Linked DNA regions of Coturnix japonica. The protein of the gene in region 1 binds, or shares a complex with, the protein of each later gene. Links are inferred from orthologs where the notes say so. Each region holds a gene or a part of one and is shown on either strand. Other genes may lie near its edges. The genes, in order: RGS9 and RGS9BP.

The links.
Region 2: RGS9 (region 1) and RGS9BP share a complex: the UniProt entries of both Homo sapiens proteins name them as parts of the RGS9-1-Gbeta5 complex. The link is inferred for Coturnix japonica from reciprocal best matches to the Homo sapiens genes RGS9 and RGS9BP.

The regions. Positions count from the first base shown.
Region 1 is NC_029533.1:6,496,108-6,500,684, forward strand, and holds the start of RGS9 (regulator of G-protein signaling 9), read left to right. Parts: upstream 1-1,642; 5' UTR 1,643-2,318; coding exon 2,319-2,381; intron 2,382-4,577. UniProt on the Homo sapiens protein: Inhibits signal transduction by increasing the GTPase activity of G protein alpha subunits thereby driving them into their inactive GDP-bound form. Binds to GNAT1. Involved in phototransduction; key element in the recovery phase of visual transduction.
Region 2 is NC_029526.1:8,554,357-8,558,592, forward strand, and holds the start of RGS9BP (regulator of G-protein signaling 9-binding protein), read left to right. Parts: upstream 1-1,294; 5' UTR 1,295-1,628; coding exon 1,629-2,342; 3' UTR 2,343-4,236. Other genes in the region: ANKRD27 (ankyrin repeat domain-containing protein 27), read right to left, coding at 1,080-1,260. UniProt on the Homo sapiens protein: Regulator of G protein-coupled receptor (GPCR) signaling in phototransduction. Participates in the recovery phase of visual transduction via its interaction with RGS9-1 isoform.

The DNA.
Region 1 (4,577 bases):
CATGCCTCTGTCTGTGCCAAGTTTACACTATTTTCTGATAAACTGCTTTGAAATCTTCCTGGAAGGAACTGCGTACTGAAATTCAGCTTGTGCCTGACACTCAGTGCCATTCATTTACGTTGATTCATTGATTCATTTACCTACCCCTTCCTTCCCCTCACCGCTGTCCCCGGTTTCCTCAGTTAGAAATGTAGTTACCACACGCCTTTTGTGTCGCATGATTCAACTTGTGATGTGTGAAGAAGGGGCAACCACTTAGGAAATGTCATCTTTAAAAAAGAGGGGGATTCCACCTGCAGTGCTTTCCGCATTAGAAAGCAACAAGAATTGTCACCTTCACTGTGAACGTGTCTGGTGAGAGCGAACATTACTGAAGGGGACTTCATGGGGACATCAATATTTAGCAGGGGCAGCTGGAAATAAGCAGGAAGACAAGGAGTGTGCATGGCTTGTGCTGGCACTCTGCTGCTCTGCCCTGTTGCACAAGCCCCTTTGCTTTTTTGGCTGACAAATTCACCTATAAATCTGCCAGATTGTATCAGGGATGGAAAAAGTCTGTTTGCTCTTCACGGATGAGGATTTTGTCATTGGAAGCCCAGGACTGTCTGCCCTTTGTGAACCTGTATAATCTGATTTAAGTGCCTTGTGCTTCACGTGGCCGAGCTGCCATAACACATTAACTGCTGGGGTAATTCACCTGGGCAGCAGGTGAAACACGGTTCATCTCTGATCTCTCTTTGGTGGTTTGCGTCATTCCTAAATAGAATCACTGTTGAGCTTATGTTTGGTTTTATTTTAGCTTGTCGGAGAAGACTGGAAACTGAAAACAACCCAAACCTGAGCTGAGGAGGAATCTAAGGTGGAACTCTTCTCTTACTTAACGCCTTCAAAATGCCTGCATGTTTTCACTGTTATTTTCCTTACCTCACCTTACCCCACTTTTAATTCCCTCTCTCCTGCTGTTTGCCTACAGAACACTGTGTGCTGCTGCAGTTTGTCACCTTGGCAGTATCAGGAGGCCACCAGGATCTGAGCTTGTTTTGAGAAACCAAACAGCAACACAACACTGGAGTTACAAGACACTGCAAATGCATGAAGAACTTCTTCTTCTGACAGTCAGCTGATGCCTTGAAGCATGAGGTGTGATAACTTTGCTATCAGTGGGATGACAGGTTACTCATTGGCATTATGCTATAGCTAGCAGCACAGAGCGGTGGAAAAGCCTTTGGAAAGTAAGAAGTGCCTGCGATCCAGTGGCTGCTGTGACTCACAGGGGGATTTCACATGGGAATGACTGAAAGCAGACACAGAAGAAAGGCCTTTCCAAAGCACTGGCTTGTTCAGCTAGTCTGAAAGAACAGAGATAAAGATAAAACCCTTCCATGAGGGCAGCAGAGCAACTGGGAAAGCAGCCCACACCCTCAGGGTATTGTATGAATGGAAAAGAACCGTGCTCTGTATTCAGAGCCAAAGTGTTTTCCTCCAGCCCGTGAGCCATGGATTATAATGTCAGAGCAGTAGCAGTCACTGTGCTGGGGAAGGCAGTGCCCCAAGAAGCAGCAAATGCATGACTTTGAAACAGATGTGTTGCGTGTGAATGTGCAGGGTATAAATGCACCTGCATGATATTCATATGTGTCTGGGGGGTGTACGAGAGCACTGGCCATGCTGGGTGGACTCTCCTCCTGCCTGTGTTGTCTGGCCAACCCTTGGCAGCAGGAGGAAATCCCACCATTCTCCGAAGAGATCAGAGACACAAAGCTCTTGGTTTCCAGCACTACCACTCAGGTTCCCCAAACCCACAGCCATGAGCCAGCTCTGTCATGAGGAAGCACCCTGCAACCCTTCCCTGTTCCTCTGGTCACCATTAATCATAATTTCCCCCATGACAAACGCTGAGTTCCCAAAACCATCCAGCTGTTTGACAGGCGGGTGATGCTGCAGGTGCAGCTGCCCGAAGCCTGCTTGCCTCTGTATTGCTCCATCACAACGGACCAGCTGCACGCTGGAAGACTCCTCTCTTCTCCCCATGAGCGAGCAGCGTTGTGGGGGGCTGTGCCAGCTGCTGCCTCCTCCTCCCAACCACCATCATCCCCCACCATCACTCTGTGCTCCATACGGCTCCCAGCGTCTCAGTAGCGCCCCGAGGTGGGCGCCGTGCGTGGAACGGCGGATGTTAATCGGCTGCGGCGCACAGCGGAGGCGCCACCCTCGGCGAAGACGGGAGAGCTGGTGGTGGGGGGCTGTAACCAGGTGAGCTGTTGGAGCTGCCGATCTGCTCGTTCGCCCGCCTCTCTTTCCGCTCCATCAGCAGCACCATGACCGTCGCACGGCTGGACCAGGGGCAGCGTTACCGCCCGCGGATGGCCTTCCTGAAAAAGGTGAGGGTTGAGCAGCTCCGGGTGCGAGCTGGGCGTCAGCACCTGGGGTACAAGATCGCACCCGGGTTGATGGTGCCGTGCGATGCGGTGCTCAGCTTAGGTGTCCCCTTGTCCGTATCAGCCGTCCGAGCATCCTGCTGGGATCTGTTACCCCCGGGAATGCTCTGTCCGGCTGTGCCTTGTGGCCACGTGGAGCCCCTGGCACCGGGGCTGAGATCACGGGGAGAAAGCTGTAATTTGAAAGTTATTTATGTTGTTATTATTATTATTAGCTGAATTATACGGACGGTTTCCTTCCCTCTCCAATCTTTCCCCCCCAAATCCTTAAAGCTCATCCATTTCCTAGGGGAAAACTCATCTCCAACACCGGGCTGCCCCGTTCTGCTCCCGGTACGTTTCCACCCACCCAGCTGCTGTCTGCTTTATGAGCATGTGTCATGACCAGCTCTCGCTTCCTGCCTTTTTCCACATTTTTAGAGACGAGCGTATTTGTGACCACAAACAGTTGAAAGAGTGGGAAGATCCGTGCCTACGCTTTTGGATGTGATGCGTAATGTTGTAAAGTATTCAGTGTTGGGTTCTTTTTTCCCCTTTTCCCTGTAGCATTCATTCAGAAGCGGAACTGGGTTTTAGTGCAACCAAGAGCTGCAGAGATTTTAAAAAGCAGAATGTTAAGCTTTTCTTCCACCCACCCACCTCTCCTGCCTGTGGCTTATCTTGCTGAGCGGAATTAGCTGAATTTCCAGTGACAAGCACAACCAGCCAGTTGCTATTCGAGTCAGCTCTCCTGCAACGCCTACGATCTATAGAGACACAAAGAGTCCGGGGGTACAAGTGTGGAAATCAGAGGCTGTTCAGTGCTCAGGTGTGAGTCTGGATGTGCTTTTCACAAGGAAGGAAGCAGGAATGATACGTTTCTTGATACTGTGTTTTTCAAGATACACTTGGCAGGGGAGCCCTGCGGTGGAAATACATGGGGCCATTCTGCACTGAGTAATACTTCTGTGGGGTTTCATGCAGAGGTGGAGAGGAGAGGCTGCGTGCTTTGTGAAAACAGCCTCCCACAGCTGTGCTTCTGCTGTTCAGTGGGTGTTAGCGGTCTTTGCAAAGTGCTCTGAGCTCCTCGGGTGGGAAGGTCTTTTAAAATACAGCACTGCTTATGGAGCATGTACAGTTCACCCTGCAAGAAGCAGAGGGTCTGAATAGCTACAGTGCTTTGGGAGTACAAGACCTGTTGGCACTGTAAAAGGGCACTCACGGATGGTCTGTGAGCAGGCCTTGGCTCTTGTCTCTGCTTTCCTTCCTCCTCTGCTTTTTCAGCCCTTGGGGAAGCCATGGACAGAGCCTCAGCTGTTACACAGCATGTACATGGTGATGGTCACATCCCCTGAAATACTGAGTCCTTCAGTGTTGTCCCATGGGGGAGCTGAAGATGCTCGGCACGCATCCAGTGAGCACTTTGCAGGCTTAGAGCCTCAAGGAGCTAAAATCGTAGGGAGAAGCTTTGTTAATTGCTTAAGCCTGTGCTTAGGCTTTGCCGTGGGCTGACATGTCTGCTGTAGCCGTGGGTCTGTGCCAGCAGCGTGGTTTCCTGCAATTCCATGATGCTGCTGGTCCTGCTGTGTCCACGCAGCTGTAACTTGTCTTCATGTGCTGGTTCTCCAGCAGGCAGCTTCTGATTGATCCAGGGAGGAGAAGGGCTTTCTTCAGGAAGTTAGATTGACTGTTATGTTTTTTCCTAAACTGCGTTGGTAGAAAGACTTTCTTGCCTGTGTTCTATCACGGTGGGCTCTGTGTTTTCCTCTGCTGTGCTACATGAGCTGCATCATGACTCATACCTCGTGGGCTGGGCTGATGGATGCTGCTTGCCTTTTTCACTGCCTCTTCCTTATTCAGTTCCTTGATGTCCAGAGACAGACCAGATCCACAGCATTGTTGGGGCTTCCCAGCCCAGCTCCATCTTGGCTTGAATTCTCCCATCTGAGTCTATTCATCAGTTGCTTCTTGTCTGTCTGTTTTTAAAGATGTCTTAGTGCTGGAATTGTGTTATGGTTGAAGTTGGCTTCTCTGTAGGCTCCTGCTCTCCATGTAAATGGGGTACAGAACATTACCAGAGCTGAGCCGTCAGCCTCTTGGCTTCTTTAATGCTGTGTGTATTGTCCAATGGATGAGGCAGCCTGAGCGCACAGGCAGGGG
Region 2 (4,236 bases), on another chromosome or scaffold:
CGGCCTGCCCAGAGCCTGCCTAGCACAGCACCACATCTTGCCTGTGGCTCACACTGTGCTGCCACGATAAGGGACAGGGTCACGATCAACCTCTTGGAGGATGTTTTCACTTCTCATAAGTTACTGTAGCAACATCAAACCATACAGTTGTCCAGGAGCATTAAGGCATAAGTAGCTGTGCACGTCATGACAAGCAAGTTCTCCAGAAGTCTGCTATGGTGAAACATGTGTTAAGAGACAGAGCCCAGACCGCTACATAGTGCTCAGCATCAGTGTTATCTATCCTGGAAGACACAGGTGTGTGTACAAACATGCCTACAGCTCCTCACTGACCACATCGTATTTCAGAACACACACAAGGGCAGCCACTAACATACCATTTTCGATAGTAAGAAGCTTGTGTTTGCTAAACCTTCTGATGTCTGATTACTTGATTTCAATTACCCTTAGATATTCTAGGCCCCATATTCACACTTCCTAGGGGCCTTCATAAACAATCCATAAAAAAGGAGGAAAAATACACAAATTCTCACCCCCGACAAACAAGCTGAAGTATTCGTGACACCGATATACAGAAAGCATGCAGCACACAGCCCGGTAGGAACCCGAGTGCACTCCTCTGGTATAAATAATGCACGTACCGGGGTGACACAAAGTTCAGCGCTGCATTCAGCGCTCCCCACGCCGCGCAGGTGGCAGCGGGTCTACCCGCAGGTGGCAGCGGGACCGCGGGCACCGGGAGCCGCCGCGCCAAGGGCCGGACACCGCCGGAGCCGCAGCTGCCAACGCGGCGGGGAGCGCAGCACAGCACAGCGCCCCGAGCACAGCCGGCCCAGGCCACACCGGCTCCGAGGCAGCCCCAGCCCGGGAGCAGGCCGCGGCCAAGGCCGGCACCTCCCCTCTCGCAGCACGGCTCACAGGCCGCGACACGGCCGCTCCGGGAGGGCACCGCCGGGAGCGGCCCCGCGGAAAACGACCGTCGGGCTGGGGGAGGAAGAGGAGGAGTGAGAGAGGAGTGAGAGCAGCTCGCCCCACCGACACCGCCCCCCCAACCGCCCCGCGCCGCAGCCGAGCCATACCGGGATCCAGGGCGGGCCGGTGCGGCGCCGCACGAAGCCAATGGCCGGGCAGCGGCGGGAAGCGAACGAGGAAGCGGGCGGCCGCCGGGGGTCGGAGCCTCCAGGGGCGGAGCCTGCGAGGGCTTATAGGGCCGGCCCGGGCCGCGCCCGGAGGCCGCGGGCGCTCCCTGCTCGGCGCCATGTGACCGCGCGGCGCCCAGCTGCGCCGGATCGGGTCGGTGCTGACAGCGGGCGGCGAGAGCTGCCGATCTGCAGAGCCTCAGCTTTAGTTCTCGGGCTCGCCTTTGTCCCGTGTTTGGCACTTGTCAAAGTACGGCGCCCCATCGGCGGACGCCCGGCGCTCTGCGGGATGACGCGCCCGGGTCGTGGCTCCCGCCGGCGGTAGCGGGGGAAGCGATGCTGCCCGGAGCGGCCGGAGCCGCCTGAGGGACCGCGGGGCGGCGCGACACGGGGCCGCCTCGCGCCATGAGCGCTGGGAGCGGCTGCGCTGGGCAGCTCCGCGATCCCGGGGCCAGGTAACCGCGGAGGAGGCGCCCGGACGGCGGGACCATGGTGAAGGAGGAGTGCAAGGCGCTGCTGGACGCGCTCAGCAGGGTGACCGCCTGCTACCGGCACATGGTGCTGACCATCGGCGGCACCTCGGACTCGCAGAACCTGCGCGAGGAGTTGAAGAAGACCCGGCAGAAAGCACAGGAGCTGGCGGTGGCCAACAGGAACAAGCTGACCGCGGTGCTGAGGGATAAAACCGTGAGTAAGGAGGACAAAGCCGAGTTTGAGAGACTATGGGTGATTTTCTCCACGTGCCTAGAGATCCTGGAGATCGACATGAGGAGAGCCCTGGAGCTGGGGCACGAGTTCCCGCTGAACGTCCCCAAAAAACACCTGATCCAGACGGGCATGAGCGGGGGTACGTCTGGTGTGGCTGCCCGGGCCATGAGTGTCCAGAACATGAAGTACGAGGCCGAGCACAACATTGACGTGGTGGATCTGAAGGACCTAGAGAACGAAATCAACCAGGTAGGAGAAATGATGTACGAGATGGAAATGAAGGTCAATGTCCCCCAGTGGACGGTAGAGGCTAAGCAAGACCCTGGGGCTGAACTCAAATCCACCATCAGCGTGGGCGCTTCTTCCATTGGCATGATCTCTGTGGAGGAAAATAAATCCTTCTGCGATATCAGCAAAGTTCTGGCTGGGATTGTTTTCTCCGCTGTTCTCATTATTGCTATTGTGCTGGCAGTGTGTGTGGTAAAACTCTCATAGACTGTGCTGGCACTGGAGAGCTCTCACAGGGCCGCCCAAAAGTGCTTCGTGCCACACGTCTCTTGTCACCTGGGTGCGCTGAGTATCTAATCCTAGCACTTGGAAATGTAACTAAAAACATCTGCCTCTCAATATCCTGAAATGCACAGTTCCTTTCATGCTTTTTGAAGAAAAAGATGCAGATCAGCCTGCAAACTAGGATGTGTTTGTTAGCTGGACTTGTAAGGGTTAACTGTGAGGTACTGAAGGTATTATCACTACTGGCTATAACAGCGATTTGTCTGCTATTAATAGATTGTCACTCTGAGAAGCCTGTATTTTTTGTTCTTGACTAGGCTCTGCAGTTTGCTGCTGCTCACTGTTTACAGTATTTCTGACTGACACAAATTTGGAGGCCAACACAGGTGTTTTTGTGTGACAGTAAACAGAATGGATTGGGATTTTTTTTTTTCCAGCAATACACAAGATATTATTTAAGTGGAGGAAAAAGGATGGACACACCAGTAAGAGCATGTAAATATCTATTTTAATAAACGTTAATGATCAGGGAGGTGTGGAGGAGGGCAGAGCAAACTAGCAGTATTCAGCAAGTACAGTTTGTAGCTTTAGACTGGGCTGCACAGAACCCAGATACCGAGGTTGGCACTGCACAAATGGATGGCTTTCCACACCCTGAGAGAGCAAAGGTAGAGCTGCGTAGTCAGAAAAATACTAGCAAGCCCTGTGGTTTACTTCCACATTTACCGTGATTTTGTCTCCCCCTGGAGAAAGGCTGATCCTTGCCTCTGGTCAGGTTCTTTCTATCGATGCAATCTGTCTGAACTTCAGAGCTGACCATGAGATGAGAAGCAGCGAATCCACCAACAGCAGATGACATAATTTTTGGAAATAGTTTGGCAAACAGCAGCGATGTAGGGTGAAAGCAGACCTTTCTAGTCATCCCAAAAGAGATGGTCTCTCATGTCGACGGGCAGAGATTTGGGCTTCTTGACAGTCAGTCACGTTTCTGCAAACTCCTGAGGTCTTTGCAGAAATGCAGATAAAGCTAAAAAAATAAAAGTAAAAATCTGTTTCATGTCTCATTCATTTCTGAGAAATCATTTGGGAAAGAGGAAGTCTGTAGTACTGGACACATAACTGGTCCAATTGGATACCCTGCAGTTTGGGACGATAAAAGCAAGAGCAGCAGAAAACTCCCAGTGTTTACCTAAAACTTGCCTGTTGAAATGTAGAACTGAGGGGACACTGACTTTGCAGAGAAGCTCTGTTATGTCTCGTAAAAGGACCCATGTGTTAATGTTCTTTATTATGTAATTTATGGAGATTCTTTCTGTTCATGTAAATACACACCATTCATTCAGGAATGCTTAGTACATACATTATAGTGCGTATGAGACATTCTGCAGGGCAATTATAGAGACCCATTTACATGGGGGTTTTAATACATAATTAGTCTGCCACCCCAGTTATTATGGACACATATCAAAAGGTAATCATCAGATATGGCTGGTGAAGTTACTAGAAAACAATCTATCTTTGTTAGTGAATGTTACCAACATATATGAACAGGTGATAAGTTTTTGAGTTGAGGACAAAACTTTTAAGAACAGCAGCAGGTGACTTTTAAATGTGTAATAAAACTGGATTTGGGTAGAAAAAGCATGTACAAGTTTGAATCTAGTGAGGAAAAAGAATGCCAAGTGAAGGCTTGAGCTGTGAGTAATGCACATTGATCCAGTCTAGACACGATTCACATAGGAACTGATGTATAAGACTCTTCCTTTCTACTGTGTTTCAGTCATTCCATAGGATGTGTTTTGTACATATTGAACTTAGGATAGATCCTGAGCAGCACTCTTAAACAGTCAAGCCTGTTTTAATTGGTGCTACTGCT